3 linked regions of the Stegostoma tigrinum genome follow. The protein of the gene in region 2 purifies or fractionates together with the protein of the main gene of each other region. This does not show direct contact. Links are inferred from orthologs where the notes say so. Each region holds a gene or a part of one and is shown on either strand. Other genes may lie near its edges.

Region 1 (7,145 bases), on a different chromosome or scaffold from region 2:
TTATATATGAATAAAAGGCTTTGGGATTTTCCTTAACCATGTTTGCCAGCAATATCTCATGTCCTCTCTTAGCCCTCTTCATCCCTCGTTTCAGATTCGCTCTACATTCCCAATATTCTTGCAAAGCTCCGTCTGTCTTCAGTCGCCTAGACCTCATGTATGCTTCCTTTTTTTTCTTGTCTAGTCTCACAATTTCACCTGTCATCCATGTTTCCCTAATCTTGCCTTTTCTATTCCTCATTTTCACAGGAACATGTCTCTCCTGCACGCTAATCAACCTCTCTTTAAAAGCCTCCCACATATCAAATGTGGATTTACCTTCAAACAGCTTCTCCCAATCTACATTCCTCAGATCCTGCCGAATCTTGGTATAGTCGGCCTTCCCCCAGTTTAGTACTCTTCCTTTAGGACCACTCCTATCCTTGTCCGTAAGTATTGTAAAACCTACAGAATTGTGGTCGCTATTTCCAAAGTAGTCCCCTACTGTAATATCAACGACCTGGCCGGTTTCATTCCCCAGCACCAGGTCCAGTATGGCCCCTTCCTGAGTTGGACTCCATACATACTGCTCTAGAAAACCATCCTGGACAGACCTTACAAATTCTGCTCCGTCTTGACCCCGAACGCTGAGTGAATCCCAGTCAATGTTGGGAAAGTTAAAATCTCCCATCACCACCACCCTGTTTCTCCTACACCTTTCCATTATCTGTTTACATATTTGTACCTCTATCTCACGCTCGCTGTTGGGAGGCCTGTAGTGCAGCCCCAACATTGTTACTGCATTCTTCCTATTTTTGAGTTCTACCCATATTGCCTCACTACTTGAGTCCTCCATGGGGCCCTCCTTCAGTGCAGCTGTGATATCGTCTTTGATCATTACTGCAACTTCTCCACCCCTTTTACCTCCCTCTCTATCATCAATATCCTGGGACAACTAGTTGCCCGTCATGCCCTTCCTTCAACCAAGTCTCAGTAATAGCAATAACATCATACCTCCAGGTACCGATCCAAGCCCTAAGCTCATCTGCCTTATCTACTACACTTCTCGCATTAAAACAAACGCACCTCAGTTCACCTGTCCCTTTGTGTTCATCATCTGCTCTCCGACTACTATTCCCTTTAGTCACACTGACTCCATTATCTAGTTCCCTACAGGCTTTCGTTTCTACCTCTTTTCTGTCCAATATTTGGTTCCCATCCCCCTGCCACATTAGTTTAAACCCTCCCCCACAGAATTAGCAAAAGCACCCCCAAGGACATTGGTTCCAGTCTGGTTCAGGTGTAGACCGTCCAATTTGTAATAGTCCCGCCTTCCCCAGAACCAGTTCCAATGTCCCAAAAATCTGAACCCCTCCCTGCGACACCATCTCTCAAGCCACGCATTCATCCTAGCTATTCTTTCATTTCTGCTAGGATTTTGGTTAGGCTTTTTGGTTGGTACTCACAAAAGATCTTGTTTCTTCCTCAGAAGTTGGCACTTCAGAGGGAGAACTCTGAACTGGTTCACACTCAGACATGAACTTGTGACCAAATGGATCATGTTCATAATTTGGTTAATCAATCATTAAGATTTCTTGATCTACATGAAAAAATCCAATCTTTCCGTTATATCAAATAAGTATCCTTTAGTTCAGTAAACTTGTCTTACATTTCTCACATCTGAGACTTTGAGAGAGGTTCAGAATGTAAACATAGTCATTTTTCCTGAAACTGTTCTCTCTTTTGTTTACATTGTGCTGACATCTTTTGACTGAACTGTTTGTGTTCAAGGGTACCAGTCAAATTTGGTAGAACCAAACTCAAAAGTATCCTTAACTTTCTCCTTATCAAACCCTGTGGTAGGGTGTGAAGTTGTTTGACATTTCAGGAGAAAATTAGTCAACTCTGTTTCATTTTGAAATTTAATCACCTATTCTCTGCTTGTTTTTTGAGTGTTATCACAAATCTTTCGGCTGCTCCATTTGATACTGAAAAGTAAGGAGAAGTAAGGATTTATTTAATGCTATTTTGCTTCAGGATTGTTTTTTACAGAATAGAACACAACAGAGGACTATTATCTGAAAAGCTCCTCAGAAAATCCGTGACAAATAAAGATGGGCCATAAGTCAACGATTGTACGTTTTTAGCAAAAATGTTTTCACCCAGTTATTTATTTTGATCCATTTTGAGTAGCTATTGCTGAGCAGTAATACATTTTAATGAAAGTATGCATTGACTCTTTGAAACGGACAAGTTGACTGTGACCACAATTGCAAATAAATATTTGAAGGTTTATTTTGCCTTTGATTCCAAATCACAGTCAAGCTCAAGTCAATAAACAAATTCTTTTGTTAGAGATTTTGTACTGAATTTTGCTGTGTGTTCCATGTTGAGCTCTGCCAGAAATGTATGCCTCAAATACAAACGTGGCACTACTATGTGAACCCACTTACTATCATAGTCATTGAGGTCTACACCACCGAATTGTGTCCATGTCAATTAGAAACAACCACCAAAATATTTAATCCCATTTTCCAGTGCTTTCAGATTTCTCCAGCATCTGCAGTTCCTATTATCTCTGATATCAAAAAATGAGGTGCCAATGTGGTGAAGCCACTAATCAGGACCATTTGCATGCCAAACAGTACAACAAGATGGCACATCAGATGGAGGGTCTAGGCCCGAAACATCAGCTTTCCTGCTCCTAAGATGCTGCTTGGCCTGCTGTGTTCATCCAGCTCTACACCTTGTTATCTCACTTTTTGGTATGCCTGGTGCTACTCCTGGCATGCTCTCCTGTACTCTCCATTGAATCAGGGATGATCCACTGGTTTTTTATGCTGGTCCATGAGGTTGCGGATTGTCCTGGAGTATAATTCTTCTGCAGTTGATGGCCTGCAGCGTCTGGTGGATGCTCAGTCTTGAGTTGTAAGATTCATTCAAAGTCAAAGTAACTGTTTTACTTTCTTAAAAGTAACTATATAGTAATTTGTTAAGTGTAGTCCAGTTCTGCAGAAGAGGGCTCAAGACTGGAAATGTTAATAAAGATAACAAGGTGTAGAGCTGGATGAACACAGCAGGCCAAACAGCATCAGAGGAGTGGGAAAGCTGACATATCGGGTCTGGAGCCTGCTTCAGAAAATATATTGTTTGTTTCAGATTCCCAACATCCACAATATTTTGCATTTATATAGTAATTTGTTCTTATTATTAAGTAGTCAACCCTTACTCTGTATGTATTACCAATGGAAAAAATTTGTGCAAAGAGCAAATTGGTGTGACATACAGGGGGTTTTAAGAGTTTTAAAAATATAATTACAGGGTAATCTGAACATATGCTTTGCTTTACGTTAACATTCTCTCAAAAATACCTCGCATTCTGTGACATAAGCAATAAAAACTTTTAAGATTTTACTAATGTTTAAATTGAAGCCTACTTGACAACAAATAACCCATATGTTTTTGTTCCTGTCGGCGTGCACTTTCTGCCGTTATATCCAACAATGTTTCCGAGTTGTGAAAATGTTGGAATCAGCTTCAAAATATGAATCAAGTCATCAAAACTTTAAATCAAAATCTTGCGATTCTGTATCTCACGGAACCCTGTACTTGGATTTTTTTTTAATTTAAAACTTGTAATGCCTTATTTTCGACGTTTGGAGATGCTCTTGCTTCAATTTTCCACTAGACCGTATCCCAGTCCTGAAGTTCCTTCGGCTAAACTTTTATTAACGCTGCACCACTTCCAAACCGGGAATAAGGCGGGCCGCGGTTCTTCACCCCCACCCCCTCTCAATCAATTCGTATTCGGGGGCTGTATATTGATTAATTCACCCCTAAGAGGTGCTGCAATTCTTTAACTACGATGTATGTCTTTTGTCGCATTTACCGTGCACGGAGAGACATAGAGATATGTAGATAGATAGAGAGAGCAGGAGCACGTCTGTTGTCGACCTTGTTCCCCTTTCTCTCTTCCTTTCGCTTTTCGAGCCCACTCCCCGAGGAAAATCACTGCGTCTGGAGGGTGCCCTACTCCACTTCTCTGTCCCAGCGTGCTCTAGTGGGAATTGGATTTGGGGTTTGTGGGTTTGAGTTGACTAGTGTTGACAGTGTCAGTGACTCCGTGCCTCCCTCCCCCGCTCTCCGTTCATTGGTGCAGCCGGAGACAAATTGGCGCCATTTTGAAGCGTTCTAGGGGCAGGCGGCAGAGGCAGCGGCGGTTGAAGAATTAGACTGGACCGGACTAGTCTGGGGTTCTCACACGGGTGAGGAGACGAACCGTCACTAATTTTGCGGATCTTCTTTGTCGTTGTATTGTATATGTATACACGTTGTTGCTGCTACTGCTGGTGGTTTTTATTTCTGCGTTTCGTTGTATTGGCGACCCCGGATTTATGGGTATTTACCGTCTGGTGTGGCGGCTCGGCTTTCCATACATGCCCGTTTCTGCCTGGGCTTCTTTCTGTCTCGCTCTGCCTTTTATTTTCCGCCCCCTTCACTCAGTCGGCGATGCTTTTCCCCGCTGTGGTTTTGTTTTCAGCGATCGGCAGAGTGGGTAATCCTGGCTGCTGGACCTTGGCGGGCGGGGTGAAAGCCTTTTTGGTTTCTGCTGTAACTCCTGGTGAGAAATCTTGATTCTTCGCCTCTCTGTGTGGGGACCGTAAAGACGGAAAATAATGGCGTTTGAAGTGTAACTGCTGGATGCTTAATTTCTCGTAAGGGTTGAGTTTGCAAGATTTCGGGGCCTGCTAGTACTCATGTTTTTGCTTTGGCCTAGAACTTGACGTATTCGAGCTCGTCCACATATGTATTTTTCCTGTCTTCTCTTCTTCACCCCCGCCCCCCAACAATTGCTTTCAGCAGCCTGTATATGGTGGCTGTCAACGTTCAGGGCAAATTTTTGATGCAATCGCCGTGTTCTTAGAATTTGTCATTTTCGTCCCACTGATAGCATTCTTGATCCTCAACGGGTTAACAGGTTTTGCTGCGCAAGTATTATTTCCCCGTTGTTATTCAAAACGTCAGTCATTTGGGTGCTTTCTTTTAAAAAGAAGTTTTATCATGGTTTGACAACATTTTAAAAAGTACCCTTCTGGGCAAGATCTTTTGTGCCCAATTTTGCTGTCTTTTTGAGAGTGAGACAAATTAGGGTGGGGGAAATACTGTACCAAAAAAACTTGCTAGTTTTTTTCTGTACTTCAAAAGTACATTAGCTGTATTTAAATTCTTTCCTTAATCTGATAGTTTAAATAATTTGCTCTGAATTTGAGGAAAGTGCTTTTATTTTTAAAGATCAGTACAAAACTATTGTGTAAACAAATCAATCATAGTAGTTAACTTAAGATTTTCCTGTCCTTTGTGATGATGGTGTTGCAGGTTATGACCCCATACATTCACAGTAGAAAGATACCTGTCAAGAGTGTGTTGTAGGAACATATGTTAAAAGAGAAAGGCTAAGCTGTTTTGTCCTTTTTGAACTTGTTCACCTGCACCAATATCCATCCTGCATTATAATCACATTCCTTCATTTTGTCAGTTTCCAAAAATCACGTGCCTCTGGAGGATTCTAAATGTTCACAACCTGTTGGAGTTGAGGCAATCTTGTCTCCAGTGTAAGTGGTGAACTGTTTCTAAGGCTGACCCCTATTTCTACAATACCCAACCAGGAAAGCATTTTCCAGAATTGACTTTGCGAAGTCACTTAATGTTTATGCTTTTGAGATGACTTCTAATGTTGAAAGCCTGGTGATCATAGGCCTAATCTTTTCGGTCTGACATCTGAAGATAATTCTCCTCCATCCCATTGTAGAAACTAATTTTGTGAATTTTTACATTTCTTCTGAAGCATTGTTCCTTGTTCCTTGTGCCTTGAATAAGGAGACTAAAATTGTATATAGTACTCCAGATGTTATATTATGAATGTAATTGAAATGAGTTTTTAGAAGGTAGAAAAAGGCCCCTTGTGTCTGCACAGATCATTAAAACATAGATCTGTTCTAATCCTATTTTCCATCAGCACTTGGCTGATAAAGCCTTGTATGCTTTATTTCAAATGCTCATCTAAATAGTTCTTAAATGCTTTTAGTTCCTGTCTCCACTCAGTTTTTTTAAAATGTAGTGAGTTCCAGATATCCGCCATCCGTCTGGTCAACAAACCTTTAGCCTCCCTTTTTGACCCACCATGCTGCTTACTTGAAACATATGCCTCTGTAGACCAAGAAGAAAAGTTTCTCCCTATCTGTGCCTGTCCGAAGTTAGTTGGTGCACCTCAAACAGGCTACTGGCGTTCTGTAACCACCAAACAAAACCTCACCCAACCTTCTCTGCTGGAAGGGAATAAAACCCCAGTTTATCTAATCTCTGTTCCTAGCTGAATCACTCCAGCCTGGGCAACATCCTGGTGAATCCCCTCTGCATCCTTTCCAGTGCAGTCACATCCTTCCTTTATTGTGGTAATCAGAAATGCACACTGTACTCTGGCTGTGGTGTAATCAACATTAATTACAGCTCCATTATAATCTGTTTGCTGTTATAGTCAGTATATTGACTAAGAAAGGCAAGTATTCCATTTGCTGCCTTAACCACCATCTCTGCCTGTCCTGCTGCCTTCAAGAATCTCTGGACATGCGTGCAAAGATCCCTCTGTACTACTTGGGGTCCTACTATTCAAACTATTCCCTTGCCTTGTTAATTCTCTTAAAATGCACCAGCTCTTAATTTTAGTGTGGTAATTGTAGCGATATGTATTTTCCCTTGTGGCTCCATTATTTCGTAATAGGGACTAACATTAGCTTACTTAACTACTTGCTGGTTATGCGTATTAATTTTTGTGATTCATGCACACAATTACCCAGGTTCCCCTGAATACAAATATTTAGCAGGTTTTTTTTCTATGTTCAAAAAATTCTACTCTTGGCTGCCAGTTTGACTAACTTCATTGCATTGTATTCCATCTGCTGTGATCTTGCCTGCTCTCATCTTTAATTGATCCACATACCCCTTGCAACATTCGAGTTTCTCTCTCTTTAGAAAATTAGGTGAGAAAATATCATGAAGAAATGTGTATATATTACTTTTGATCTTCTCAAATTTACTGATTATTGATTGAAAATAGCTGAAGCCCAAATGTTGGTCCCATTGTTTCCTCAGTTGCAGAGTGCCACCTT
Region 2 (7,759 bases):
GCAGACCTGTCGGAGGTTGATGTGTTGGATCCGGAGGTTGATGGGGTGGTATGTGAAGACGAAGGGGATTTTGTTTTGGTTGTTATTGCAGGGAGGGGGTGAGGGATGAGTTGCAGGAAATGCGGGAGACACGGTCGAGGGCGTTCTCAACCACAGTGGGGTGGGGTGGGGCGGGGGGAGGGGGGAGGGGGGATCCTTGAAAAACAAGGTCATCTGAGATGTATGGGAGTGGAATGCCTCATCCAGGGAATAGGGGATGGATTTTTGCAGGAAGGTGGGTGGGAAGAGGTAGATTTAATTTTGAAGTATAGCCAATAAGAAACTCAACAGCCAATTTACACACAAGTTCCCACAAACAGCAATATCATAACAACCACAAAATCTTCTTCTACTGCAGGGAGAAGATAAGTCAAGCTTTTGACCAGCCACAAAAGGCTAATTGACTTCATCCATACTGTAACCATTCAAAGACCCCACATTTTGTTTTTAAGTAATAACTGGCCAGGATGGCCAATCTGGATAGCCACTGTATCAGAGATAATGGGAACCGCAGATGCCAGAGAATCCAAGATAACAAAGTGTGGAGCTGAATGAGCACAGCAGGCCAACAGCACAAAAGCTGACGTTTCGGGCCTAGGCCCTTCATCAGAGCACAGGATAGCCACTGTGCTCTGCCAAATTGTGCCATGATATTTCACTACCACCTGAGGAGACAGATGGGGCCTTAGTTGAACCACTCTTCCAAAGTATGGGTCCTCTGACAAGGCAGTACTCCTGCAGTATTACACCGGTATTTCATTTAAGATTTTTGCACTCAAGTCTTTGGAGTGGCACTTGAATCACAATGTTCTCACTCAGAAGTGAAAGGGTGCTACTAACTGCAGTCTGAGAATTATCGCTTACACCACCACACAAATATTTAACGAGATACACTTGTGGCAAAGGTGTGACAGACTGTTTTTTAAAACACAAACCTGCAGCTGAAAAATTCTTCTGCACATTGCAGTGGATCCAGTGTAGGGCACACCGGGAATGGATGGCACATTCCTTTGCTAAGGGTATTAGTGAAGCAGATAGGTTTTTCTGACAACTGACTGTTGGTTACATGATTGCCATTTTTTATTGAACTCGTGATTGGATACTAACACTACAGTAGAGTACAAGAGTAGGAAATCTTACTGCAACTGTGCAAGGGAGATAGTGTCTGGAGTACTGTAAGCAGTCTGAGTCTCCACAGTTATGGAGAGATAATTCCATTGAAAGCAGTTGTGAAAACATATACTAGGATGACCCCTGGTATGGAGGGATTGTCATATGTGCAAAAGTTAAACCAGTTGGGACTGTACCCACTGGAGTTTAGAGGAATGACAGATGACTGCATTGAAACATATAGGATTGTTAAGGGACTTGACAGGATAAATGTTGAAAGATGCTTTCCCTCATGGCAGAGTGAGTCTAAGAGAAGAGGGCATAGTTTCAGAATAAACAGGTGCCTGTTTAAGACTGAGATGAGGAAGAGTTTTTATTTTCTCTCTCTCTCTGAGGGTTGAGTCTTTGCATCTCCTTGCCAGACCGCTTTAGGAACGGAGTCAGAGTAGAATCACAGCATCCCTACAGTACAAAATGAGGCCACTCTCCCTAACAAGTCTGCATTGACCCAACAAACAGCATCTCACCCAATCCCCATAACCTCACATTTACCATGGCTAACCCACCTAGCCGGCACAGTCCTGATCACCAGAGCAATTAAGCACAGCCAATCCACCTAATATGAACTGTCGGAGGAAATTTGAGCACCTGACTGGCCAAACAAAGGGAGAACATACAAAATCCATAGATAGTAACCAAAGCTGAGATTAAACCTGGATCCCCAGTGTTACGAGACAGCAGTGATAACCGCTATACCTGTGTTTATTTTAGGCAGAGACAAATAGGTTCTTCATTAGTAGGAGAATCAAGGATTATGGGAAAAGGCAGAAAAGTGGATGTGATGAATGTCTGACCAGTCATGATTCTATTGAATAGCAGGGCAGGCTTGAGGAGCTTAATGGCCAACTGTTGTTCTTATTTCTTATGGTTTAAACCCACGTCCCCAGAACACACTGGCCTGGGGTTCTGAACTGCTGGTCCAGTGATATCACCACTATCTCCCCAGGCATAATTCGTTGAACAGATGAAGGAATACGTTGAGAAGGGTTCCTGTGTATGTTAAAAGTGCTATCTCCATGCACGTTAGGTATCCATTCTCTTTCCCCATAAAAGAAAATCACAATCAACAACTTGGAGCCTCTTGGGCAGACAGCATCCAGTTCCATAAATCCCGCCTGTACTTTAAAAGACATTTATTCCGGACGGCCCTGTGTCAATCCAACGAACTACCTGGCTGCATTATCCCCTTCTGATAAAATAATAAAATAGAGCTTATGGGCCCTCTGCCTACGCAAATGACAAGGAAGACGGTCAGAAGCCGGGGGGATGAATATCGGCCTTTTGAAGTTGGGGCCTGTCACTTCACAATTTTACAGGTGAATTCTAATTTTACTTCTTAGTTGCACTGTCATGCGTTAAAAATATCCACATATTTAGTAAACTGTTGTCAGTTTATGATCATATAGATCCTAAAATGTTCGATCAAGTGGATGTGAGCAAATAAACGCTCCTTATCGGACACTTGATGCGGTATTTTCTTCCAATAGGAAGAATAACCATCCCGGCCATTCCTCCCCCCCGCCGCGGGACCCGGCCGTTCGCCCCCCAACGGGGCCGGCGAGGCCCGGCCGTTCGCTCCCAGCCTCGCCGAGCGGGGCCTTTACCTGTTTAATGTACATATCTCGCGTCCCTCAGCGGCACTGGAGGCTATCCTCCCCACCGCCTTCCGACCGTCGTTATTAAATTAATAAAAATAACCTCCTCCGCCGCCGAGAACCGGGGGCAACGACAATAAAAAAAACAAACAAAAATAACCCGAAAGCGGCAAAACTCCGACAAAATGGCGGCTCCCCTCACCCTGTACCAAAGCAGTGACCATGGGGTAGTAAGAAAGGCAACAAGGGAAATGCATGGGATAGAAGCATTCAACTGATCGACCCATCCATTATCATTTAGTGATAATTTATATTAATGTTTGTTTTTGAAATTTCCCTCGAATTCTGGAACAGAAGAATGTTTCAACGCACTGCACACAGTCTGTACCCCCTATTTGATGTTGGTATGGTCCAGGAGCGGTCAAACATTTGGCGCCAATGGAACGTTCTGGCGCCTGGAGCGGGGCTTCCACTTAAAGGGGCATGCAGATCGGGCTCTTTAAACACAGCCCAGCCTTTTTTGCCGGCGGGCTTTTATTTCACAATGAGCTTTCGTATCTGTTTCAGCCAACCTGTACAGATATGTTATTACACACGTACCTCAAACTTCTGGGTCAGAGGTGGTGTCATTACCATTGCACTGCAAGACCCGTTCTAACTGGTACAGATATTTGCCATCATCAACCTGTTCACATTATGATACATGTACCTGCCACTTAAACCTGGTCCTCCTGGCTCAGAGGTAGAGAAGCTACAAGAGGCCCCTAAGATAGGAACCTGGGTTCAATTCCACCCTTGGGTGTCTGTGTGGAGTTTACACATTCTCACCATGTCTCTGTGGGTTTCTCCGGGTGCTCCGCTTTCCTCCCTCAGTCCAAAGACATGCAGGCTAGGTGGATTGGCCATGCTAAATTGCCCCTAAAGTGCAGGCTAAGTGGATTGGCTAGGAGTGACGATAACCAATGACCTTTCCTGGACTTCCCACGTATTTGGGATGGTCAAGAAGGCACAACAATGCCTCTTCTTCCTCAAGCGGCTCAGGAAATTTGGCAAGCCCACAAGGACCCTCCATAACACGCAGTTGTACCATTGAAAGCATAATGACCTAGTATGGTAACTCTTCTACTCAAGACTATAAGAAACTAATGAAGGTTGAATGCACAGACCCTCATGGAAGACAACATTCCATTCATGGACTCCATTTACGCAGCTCATTACCCTGGTAATTCTCCCCTGCAACCTCTTCTGAGGATTAGATAGGGTGGACAGTGAGAATCTTTTTCCGAGGATGATGACTTCAGCTTGTACAAGGGGGCATAGCTACAAATTGAGGGATGATATATTTAAGACAGATGTCAGAGGCAGGTTCTTTACTCAGAGAGTGGTAAGGGCACGGAATGCCCTCCCTGCCAATGTAGTTAACTCAGCCACATTAGGGGCATTTAAACAGTCCTTGGATAAGCATATGGATGATGATGGGATAGTGTAGGGGGAGGGGCTTAGATTAGTTCACAGGTCGGCACAACATTGAGGGCCGAAGGGCCTTTTCTGCACTGTATTGTTCTATGTCTATGTTCTATCAGGCAGAAGATACGGAAACTTGAACACATGCACCAGCAGATTCAAGAACAGCTTCCCTACTGTTACTAGACTGATAAATGCACTCTCTAATACTAAATAATGCTGATCTTGCTAATGTTGATCTCGCCTAGTGCCTGTCCTGTGTGATGTAACCTGCATACCTCAGTCCAAGAGATAATGGGAACTGCAGATGCTGGAGAATCCAAGACAACGAAATGTGAGGCTGGATGAACACAGCAGGCCAAGCAGCATCTCAGGAGCACAAAAGCTGACGTTTCGGGCCTAGACCCTTCAAAAAAAAAGCTCTGATGAAGGGTCTAGGCCCGAAACGTCAGCTTTTGTGCTCCTGAGATGCTGCTTGGCCTGCTGTGTTCATTCAGCCTCACATTTTTTTGTCTTACCTCTGTCCAAGTTTTATTTTCACCCTGTGATCTGTATGTCCTGTGCTTACTGTGACCTGCCTGTGCTGCTCATAAACAAAGCTTTTCACTGGACTTAGGTACAAATGATAATAAATCAAATCAAAGATTGTCCCAAGGAAATACAAGGTTACAAGGATGGGGGAGGTCTGGGTGGAATGCTGTTTGGAGGGTTGGTGTGGACTCAATTAGCCTATTAGCCTGCTGTCACACTGTAGGGATTCTATGAAATAACTTGGTAGTTATGTTGATTCAAGAACTTGCAAATTTCTTTCCACAAATCTGACTACAAACATTGAAAATCTTTCTCTGTGGTTTTTAACAACACTAGAAATGTCGAAATATCGAAGTGTTATGGTGCAGAAGGCAATGATTTGGCTCATCATGTCTGTCCTGGCTGTCTGAGTCTTTCAGCTTATTGCCAGATGCTGGTAAATGGGACTAGATTAATTCAGGATATCTGGTGACCAAGTTGGACCATAGGATCTAATTCCATGCTATATAACTCTATGACTGTATTTCAAAATCTTGACATTCATCTGCCACTCTCTCCAAGTAATCTGGAGAATTCTTCCATTTCTGCTGGATCTTTCACTCCTTTCCTTAGTAACAAAGACTAGATTATGATATGTTTTATTAACAGCCACTGACAACTATCTATCCCTCCACCTTTATGGCAACACAATTGAATTTGTAACTTTGAACATCCCAGGTACAAGAACCCTTAAGCAGCCTGGCATCCTCAGGGAGCAGAGATTATGTACTTTTTTACCTCTGTACATCGAGGTTGAGCTTTGAAGACTTTAACATGGGGAATGGGTGTTTCACATACACCTGTATATCAAGGCATTGAGTCTATTCCTACATATTTAATGTATTTAAGTTGTCCTCCTACTATGCTTTTCTTATTCCTCCTTGGGATGTAAGCACTGCCCAAAAGGCTAGCTTTTGATGCTTGTTTTTAATCGTCCTTGAACTGAGTGAGGTGTGTATTTAAAGGGCAGTTACAAGTCAACCACGTTATTGTAGATTTATAGTGACATGTAGGTCATGCCAGGGAAAGCTGGCAGATTTTCATTCTCTTCTCTAAAGGTTTTGAATGATAGTTGTCATGATCACTGTGCCACCTTTGTGTTCTAGATTTATCAATTTCAAATTACACCATGGTGGGATTTGAGCCTACATCTCCCAAGCATTAGGCTGGGGTTCTGGATTACCAACCTGGTGACATTACCACTATACCACTTGCTTTAATATTTGCTGCAACCATGCCAGTTTCTCAGTAGCCAGGAAAGCTAACAGTGAAAAGGAGGTGGCTCTACAGTGATACTTCATTCTATACATCTCATGCATCAAGAGGAGAACATTCATGGCATTCATACATTCATGGCTCTTAATGAAACCTACAGCCACCAGTTCCCAAATGGAGCAGCTGCCTTCCCCTCCCACTCACTGACCCAACTGTCTGTCTCCATACTTATTGCCGCTATCTCTCCCCTTGCACATTTGCCAACCATTCCCACTGCCCTTCTACACCCAGCCCCAGACATGAGCGTTCTGTCCTCCCAGTTGCTGAGGACTGCTTTTAAGTGTGATTGTGGGCCCCTCTACCTTGCCTCCCAGTTCAAACTGTTACTTTGGCTATCCAGAGAACAGAACGAAAGAAAAAGATTCAAAACAGACGGATTGGCCGTGCTAAATTGTCCATAGTGTTCTGGGGGCATAGGCTAGGTGAATTAGCCATGGGAAATGCAGAGTTACAGGGAAAGAGTGGGGGCAGGTCTGTGTGGGATACGCTTCAGGGGGTCAGTGTAGACTTGACAGGTTGAATGGCCTGTTTCCATACAGTCAGGATACTATGAAATTTCAAGAGAAATAACAATGTATACCGTCTTGAGAAATTCCCTGCAAAATTTAATATTTTTGAGATTCTGTCCTGATGATTGCAAGGGAAAAGACTTTGACAGCATGTCTCTCTTTCTAGCAGATTTTTTCCAATTCTGTGCAACTGAGATCCTGTGATAGTTAGATGGTGGCTACAGCTGATACAAATATCAGGGACAAACGTTCTCCTGTGCTGTGCATGCTCAATGGCATGTTTAAGTCCTGTAATAAGCTGATTGGAATTTGACAGAACAAGTACCTGTGATGGCTAGAGATAACAGTGCGGAGCTGGAGGAGCACAGTAGGCCAGGGAGCATCAGATTTGACGTTTCAGGTTGGGACTCAGTGATGACTAATTGTGTTTCTGTGACCCCCATATACCAAGAAAAGTGAGGCATTCCTGCATTGGAAATTTGGAAATATATGACATTGACAGTTTGTGGAAATTCGCATCAATGTGTGGATAATGTCTCACAGAGCTCAGGAGTGGATTACAAGCGTGCATAAATGCCAAAAGAAAACAGCAGTCACAAGATGTTCAGATGAAACTAAGTTAAAAGCCTTTAGTAGTAAATACCTTGATCTAGTGAATGATTGTTTTGCTAATGGCAGGAGGCATTGCTCAGAATTTTAAAATATCCTTAATATGTGTCCAAATTATCTCTCATAATTACATCTGCTCAGTGGTTGCTATAGTCCTTCAACAAAATTTGGAAAACTTCGTCAATTCTAACAACTCACCAAATTATCTTCAGCAGAACCTTCCAAACACTAAGACATATAAAAGACAAGGTCAGGGACCACATGAGAGCACAACCATAACCAAATTTTCCTCTAAGTCACAGGTCATCCTAATTTGGAAATGTATCACCCTTTCTTCTTCATTGTTGGATAAAAATCTTTGAACCCCATCTAGCAGCACTATTGGAGCACCTTCAGTATATTAGAGATTCGGGAAAGTGGCTCACCGTGACTTTCTCCAGGGTGGTCAGTGATGGGCAACAAATGCTGACCCAGCCTGTGAATCTCACCTCCAGGGGCTGAATGCATGAAATAAAGAATAAGGGAAAG
Region 3 (7,193 bases), on a different chromosome or scaffold from region 2:
AGTGGAGAGACAATAGCTTAAGTAGACACTTAATTCCAGATAACAAGGTAGGGAGCTGGATGAACACAGCAGGCCAAACAGCATCTTAGGAGCAAGAAAGCTGACGTTTCGGGCCTAGACCCTTCATCAGAATTCAAATTCCACCATTTGCCAAGGCTAGGCTTCGAAACCTGGATTAATCATCTAAGAACAATACCGCTAAACTACTGACTCCCCTTTGACATAATTGGTATTATTGTATTACTACTGCATTATATTACTGTCTTGTAACACTGCTTACCTGAGGATTTTAGTAACAGCTGAGTGGCATCATTGCTGCTTGATTAATCCAGAGACCCAAGCAGCATTCTGGGAACTCTGCTTTGAATCTCACTACAGCAGGTGGAGGAATTTAATTCAATACAAAATCATAATAAAAATTATTGTCGGCTGTTGGAAAAGTCCACTTAATTGTGGCACGGTGGCTCAGTGGTTAGCACTACTGTCTCACAGTGCCAGGGACCCAGGTTCGATTCAAGCCTCAGATAACCGTGTGGAGTTTGCACATTTTCCCTGCGTCTATGCGGATTTCCTGCCACAGTCCAAAGATGTGCAGGTTAGGTGGAACGGTCATGCTAAATTACCCAGTGTCCAGGAATGTGAAGGTTAGGTGGGTTGCCATGGGAAACGCAGTGTTACAGGGACAGTGGATCTGGCTGGGATGCTCTTTAGAGGGTCAGTATTGACTTGATTAGCCAATTGGCCTGCTTTCACACAGTAGAAAGTCTATGATCCATTAACACCCTTTTGCAAAGGAATCCGTCATCCTTACTTGGTCTGACCTACATGTGACTCCAGAGTCAAAGCAATGTAGTTGACTCAACTGGAAAAGGCAATAAATACTGGCGTAGCCAGCAACACCCACATCTCCTGAATGAATTTTTAAAAATTTCATTGAATGGTTTATTCATGCATGCTGTAATGTAACAAAAACATTTCCAATAACAGCTACCATTTCACGTATTATTGACTTGTCTCAACATAGAGTCTACAGAGAAACAAAGTAGATGGTGATACTTTTCATTTCAGTCCTATTTTCTGAATGTCACATCTTTTGTTTACAAATTGAATCATATGCATAAGCACTTATGTTTTAAGCATTTCCTTCAAATTCACCACTTCATTTTAATTATAAATAGAAAATAAACAGCAACTAGTTTCGTGTATCAAAGGTAACAACTCTCTTTCTAAATATAGTTTTAATTCCGGGATGGGGGTCATACCAGCTTCGGAGAAAGAGCCAACACAAGATTCTGATAAAAATTACCGACGCTCCTACACATTTGAAGTTGCCACCACCATTTCGAATAGATACAATACAACAAGCTGAAGCTTCAGTGTTTGCAAACAGAGGCCCGGCATCTATTTACACTGCAGCATACTGTCAGTCAAATATCGATACAATTGTTTCGCCCACACAAGTAAACCAATGACGTACCAACGACGGCCACTGAACACGAACTTGCTACACACCCAAAAGATGTGAATACTTCCAACAATAAAATTTCAAGACAGTACATTTATGCAAACGTTTTTCGAAACATCGTAACTGATTTCATGAAGTTAGTTAGACTCATTACATCAACCAGCACGATTTCAAAGATCGAATGCGAGTCATACCAGAAACAAAAATGCAAGATAATGAAACACACGATATCCTTTTTACTTCAATTATCAACCAAGTTAACAGCTGCAAGGGTGAATACAACATGTATCAAAGTTTATAACAAGAACAAATGATATATCTTTCTTCCTATTCCCACCAATGAGAAAGAACCATGTCCGATCTTCACTAGAAAGTTACATCGTATGATCTGACCCACATCTCCAGCGGTATTCCATGTTGACAGCCGATTATAAACAGCTTTTGTTTACCAGCAAAAAAAAAGGAAAATCAGCTATTGTATTTTTTATCTCTGAACTCATAAAACAGGTTTAAGTGCCGAAATCTACCATAACTACAATGTGGAAACTGCACTCGATACTTTGGCATTCAGGCGACGCTCAGGTAGGTTCCACAACCAGGCCTCAGTAAATCACACTGCCCAAGCGCCTCTCTTAAAAACGCTGAGGGCGGTTGTCCTCTGGAACGAGACCCATATCGGCGGCTAGGCCCCAAGCCGCTTGTCGCCTCACCCCCACACCCTTCTCCGGGCTGCTAGCAAGACCTCCGCATCGCCCAACCCCCCCCCCTCCCTGCCCCCTTTGTTAACTCAGGCGAGTGTCCCGGCTTCACTCGACCACCTCTAGTCGAGGCGGCCTCTAATCACCTCTCACAGGCCCACCCCTTCACCTTCTCATATCTGATCTCCAGTAGCCGAAATCGCCCGGACCCAGGGCCAGGGCCGCAGTTCTTCCTTGGGCCTGAGGCCTAGGGCCCCGACAAAACCCCATATTCTTCCCTCCCTCCCCCACCCGGGTTCGGGCCTCACTCGGCCTGGGGCGGCGGGACACACAGCAACATTCCACCTAAAGTCAACCCCGCCAACAGTAAAGTCAGAAAGACCCGAGAGCTGCTAAAGTACTCGAGAAGGCCCTAATCCGCGGCCTCGCCTGTTCGCCCTGCCCACTGCCGGGGAATCACTAGACGGATTTTAAATTTTACTAGTGTCCTCCTTGGATTTTACCTCAGCGAAGAAGCCGCTGTCGATGTTGATGTCGATGCGAGTCGCTGGCTCCGGGAATGTGAAGGGGGCGGCGGGCAGAACAACAAACACCGAGCGGACATGAAGGGACGTGAAGTGGCGGCGCGCTCCCTCCCTCCCTCCCCCGCCCGTCCGCCTGCCCACCCGCCTCAGCCTGTCGACCGTGTGAGCCCTTGGCTTTCCTGGATACCGGCTTCGGCGTCTGCCTGCGATGCGGCCTGGCTCTCTGAGCCTGGGTAAAGGCACCGAGCGGCGGCGGAAACTCCAGCTCAGCCTCGAAGGCGATTCCTCTCTCGCAGACAAAATGCCGACCGGAAGTGAACGAAACCAGCGCGAGCGGAGGGAGGAAGAAGGCGCCAAACGCGATCATTTCCGGCTGCAGCGGCTCCGCGCGCCCACGGTACAGTGTGCGCGCCCACCGGCCGCGTGCGCGCCCCCCCGGGCAGCACGTCGCGCAGGCGCAGCTGTGTGGCCGGTAGTTTGCACGTGCTTTTGGCGCGTTTCCTGTCGGTGAGAGGATTTACTGAGACAGTGGGAAGTGCAGATGCTGGAGAATCTGAGATAACACGGTGTAGAGCTGGATAAACACAGCAGGCCAAGCAGCATCAGTGGAGCAGGAAGCCTGACGAATTTCTGAAGAAGGGTCTAGACCCGAAACATCAGCTTTCCTGCTCCTCTGATGCTGCTTGGCCTGCTGTGTTCATCCAGCTCTACACCTTGTTATCTCAGATTGTCCAGCATCTGCAGTTCCTACTGTCTCTGAAACATGGTGGGATGCTTGGATCTACAAAAATCCTTTGATAAGGCCCCACATCAAAAGTTTTTTTTTAGAACGCCCCTTGGCAAGAGCACGCACGGAGAAGAAGGTATACAAGATAATGAGAGGCATAGATAGAGTTGATAGCCAGAGACTATTTCCCAGGGCAGAAATGGCTAGCACAAGGGGTCATAGTTTTAAGCTGGTTGATGGAAAGTATAGAGGGGATGTCAGAGGCAGGTTCTTTACGCAGACAGTTGTGAGAGCATGGAATGCGTTGCCAGCAGCAGTTGTGGAAGCAAGGTCATTGGGGTCATTTAAGAGACTGCTGGACATGTATATGGTCACAGAAATTTGAGGGTGCATACATGAGGATCAATGGTCGGCACAACATTGTGGGCTGAAAGGCCTGTTCTGTGCTGTACTGTTCTATGTTCTATGTTCTAAAGGAATGCCAGCGATCTCAAACCCAAGGATCAATTCCAACTGTCAAATGTGTGGTCAGAAGTGTGGCTCTAGCATCCGGCTCATCAGTCACACAAGGACCCACAGACCCCATGATCAGTCACACGGAATTGCACAGGTAGACAATCATATACGTTACGAATGATTGTCAACAACATTGAACGCTATTACAGAAAATAAGAGCTTTTAGGCAATTAACATGGATAGAGGATCCGTCATCTGATAGGAAATGGACGGTACGATAACTGAGTCATTTCTGGCTGGCAAGAGAAAATGGAAGACTTGACAGCTACCAAGAGCGCAAAACAGCAGAGGTTCTACAGGAATACCAAATGTGCAATGGAGAATTTAAAAAGGACAGTGGAAGAGGAAAATGAGACCATGAAAGGTTAATAGTAGTAAACCAGAGAAAAATCCTAAGTTATTTTACAAATATATTGAGGGTAAAAGGATAAGGAAAGAATGGGACCCATTAAGGATCATAGTGGTAATTTGACATAGGTGGGGTTCTGAATGCATATTTTATTCCAATGTTCAATAGCGAGAGGGGCAACATGAGTGTAGAAATGAGGGAGAAGGACTGATATAATTAAAGAAATTTGCATAGCCAGAGAGGAGGTTCCAAATGGTCAGATAGTCTTAAAAGTAGATTAATGGATGTGAGATTGCTCGCTGAGCTGGAAGGTTCATTTTCAGACATTTCGCCACCATTCTAGGTAACATCATCAGTGAGCCTCCGACGAAACCTCCCCTTAACACCCCGCTAGCCAAAAGAATAGCTGAGCAAAACGGCCGCAGAATGTTTCGAGAAATGATCAATGATGCTCACAACAGACTCCGTAAATACAACCAGGAAATTTCGCGCCAAAAAAAAACTTTACTCACTAATGCGACAGACCATGAATGGACTGACAGGCTTTGTCAGAGGCTCACTGATGATGTTACCTAGAATGGTGACGAGACGTCTGAAAATGAACCTTCCAGCTCTGCAAGATCTCACATCCAGAACCTCTACCTGAGCTACAAATCTTCTCAAAACTCGCAAGTAGATTAATGTCCAGGGCCAGATGAAATGTATCCCAGCTTTTGAGTGAGGCAAGGGAGAAAATAGTAGGGATGCTGGCATTATTTTTTAATTCCTCTGTGGCCACAGGAGAGGTGTGAAAAGACTGGGGGACCACCAGTGTGTTACTGTTATTGAAAAAGGAAGCTAGAAATAAACCAGGAAACTGCAGGCCAGTCAGTCTAACCTCAGTGGTGGGGAAACTGTTGGAAGCAATTCTGATGGGCAGAATTAATAGACAATAGGTGCTGGAGTAGGCCATTCGGCCCTTCGAGCCAGCACCACAATCTGCAGTAGGAGAGAAGAGGATTAACAAGAACAGTCAGCATGGGTTGTTAAGGGGAGGTCATGTCTGACCAACTTGATTGAATTTTTCAAAGAGGCGACTAGGTATGTAAATAAGGGCAATGCTTTTGATATAGTTTTAGAGATAAGGTCTTTTGATAAGTCCCAATTGGGAAGAAATGGAGGTGCTGGTGTTGGACCAGGGTGGACACTTGACCTGACGTCAGGGAAGTTGGGGTGTGGAGGCAGCACTTCATGAAGTGGAGGAGCAGTGCTCTGAAAGCTTGTGATTTCAAATAAACCTGTTGGACTATAATCTGGTGCCTTGTGTCTTCTGACATTGCCCCACATGGGAGACGGATAGTAAAAGTAAAAACCCAGGGGATCCAAGAAAATTTGGCAAATTCGATCCAGAATTATCCCAGTGGCAGAAAGAAGTTTTGTCAAGGGGTGTTTTATGGTTAGAAGCCTGTATCCTGTAGGGTTCCACAGGAATCAGTGTTGGGGCCTTTGCTGTTCGTGGTACAGATAAATGATTTGGACTTGAATGTATGAAGGCTGTTCATTAAGTTTGCAGATGATATGAAAATTGTTGGGGTGATAAATAGCGGTGAGGAAAGCTTTAGATTGTGTAGGAGGATGTGGACGGGTTAGTTTGATGAGCTGGTCAGTAGCAAATGGGATTCAATCAGGATAAATGAAAGGTTATGACCTTGGGCAGGCAAGCAAGATTGTACCTCTGAGCATAATTCCAGTGAGCTAAAGTGTTAATGGATATTCATGACCTGCTAAAGAATTCAGAACAGGTTCCGAACCATCAAGATTGGGAAAGTTGACTAGCCTGGAAGGGTCTGCAAACTTAGTAACGGCACAGAATGCTTTAGCTGTAGCCTAATCAACTTTTTATACAGTTCCAGCATAACCTTTAGGAACATAGGGGCAGCACAGTGGCTCAGTGGTTAGCACGGCTGCCTTACAGTACCAGGGACCCGGGTTCGATTCCACCCTTGGGCAACTGTCTGTGTGGAGTTTGTACATTCTCCTTGTGTCTGTGTGGCTTTCCTCCGGGTGCTCCAGTTTCCTCCCACAGTCCATAGATATGCAGGTTAAGTGGATTGGCCATGCTAAATTGCCCGTAGTGTTCAGGGATGTGCAGATTAGGTGGGATATAGGGGGATGGGTCTGGGTGGGTTTCTCTGAAGGTCAGTGTGGGGTTGTTGGGCCACAGGGCCTGTTTCCACACTGTAGAGATTCTATGATTCTAAAAACAAGAGTTGCTGGAAAAGTTCAGCAAGTCTGGCAACACCTGTAAAGGAAAAAAATCAGGAAAGGTCCAGTGACCCTGAGGAAGGGCCTCAGACCCAAAATGTTAACTCTAATTTTTTTTCTTCACAGATGCTGAGCTTTTCCAACAATCCTGTTTTTGTTCCTCATTTACAGCATCTGCAGTTTTCTCATTTTCTTTTTAGCATTTAAGTCACTGCCACATCTTTTCTAGGCATGCCCATCTTGAAGAAGTTCTGCTCCATTCTCCAGGATTTCTGTTCCCATCTTTCTTCTTGCCCACCAACATTAATTTCACTGTCACTCTGGTGTTTGACCGAGTATTTGCTAAAACTCATTTCTACAGCCACATCACATTCCTCAGTGACTGCCTCCAGCTCAGACTCGCCCCACGTGGATTCCAACTGAAGTTTCATCCCTCATGTTTTGAATCCTCTCAGAATCACAGATATCTCTGTGATGTTCAACATTCCACAGATAGCTGCTCTCACCACATCCTGAGATCCATACTCAGTGCCATGCAGCATCACATGCACACTCTTGACCATTCTCTCCAACAGCATCGCAACATACTGGCTCAAGGTTGCACCACTCTGCAGTTCTAACTCACTTATGCATACCACAAATAGCCACACTGATCCCTGTAGTACCCCAC

What was found.
Region 1: the proteins of smc3 (region 2) and sister chromatid cohesion protein PDS5 homolog B purify together in Homo sapiens (co-immunoprecipitation; 7 studies listed by BioGRID and IntAct, with this or other methods). This does not show direct contact. The link is inferred for Stegostoma tigrinum from reciprocal best matches to the Homo sapiens genes SMC3 and PDS5B.
Region 3: the proteins of smc3 (region 2) and nipped-B-like protein purify together in Homo sapiens (affinity purification with western blotting; 4 studies listed by BioGRID, with this or other methods). This does not show direct contact. The link is inferred for Stegostoma tigrinum from reciprocal best matches to the Homo sapiens genes SMC3 and NIPBL.

What each region holds. Positions count from the first base shown.
Region 1 is NC_081359.1:81,958,463-81,965,607, forward strand, and holds the start of sister chromatid cohesion protein PDS5 homolog B, read left to right. Parts: upstream 1-4,126; 5' UTR 4,127-4,244; intron 4,245-4,288; exon of another isoform or gene 4,289-4,600; intron 4,601-7,145. UniProt on the Homo sapiens protein: Regulator of sister chromatid cohesion in mitosis which may stabilize cohesin complex association with chromatin. May couple sister chromatid cohesion during mitosis to DNA replication.
Region 2 is NC_081373.1:2,591,283-2,599,041, forward strand, and holds the start of smc3 (structural maintenance of chromosomes protein 3), read right to left. Parts: upstream 3,003-7,759; 5' UTR 2,829-3,002; coding exon 2,814-2,828; intron 1-2,813. UniProt on the Homo sapiens protein: Central component of cohesin, a complex required for chromosome cohesion during the cell cycle. The cohesin complex may form a large proteinaceous ring within which sister chromatids can be trapped.
Region 3 is NC_081356.1:138,995,846-139,003,038, forward strand, and holds the start of nipped-B-like protein, read right to left. Parts: upstream 3,020-7,193; 5' UTR 2,875-3,019; intron 2,784-2,874; exon of another isoform or gene 2,667-2,783; intron 1-2,666. UniProt on the Homo sapiens protein: Plays an important role in the loading of the cohesin complex on to DNA. Forms a heterodimeric complex (also known as cohesin loading complex) with MAU2/SCC4 which mediates the loading of the cohesin complex onto chromatin.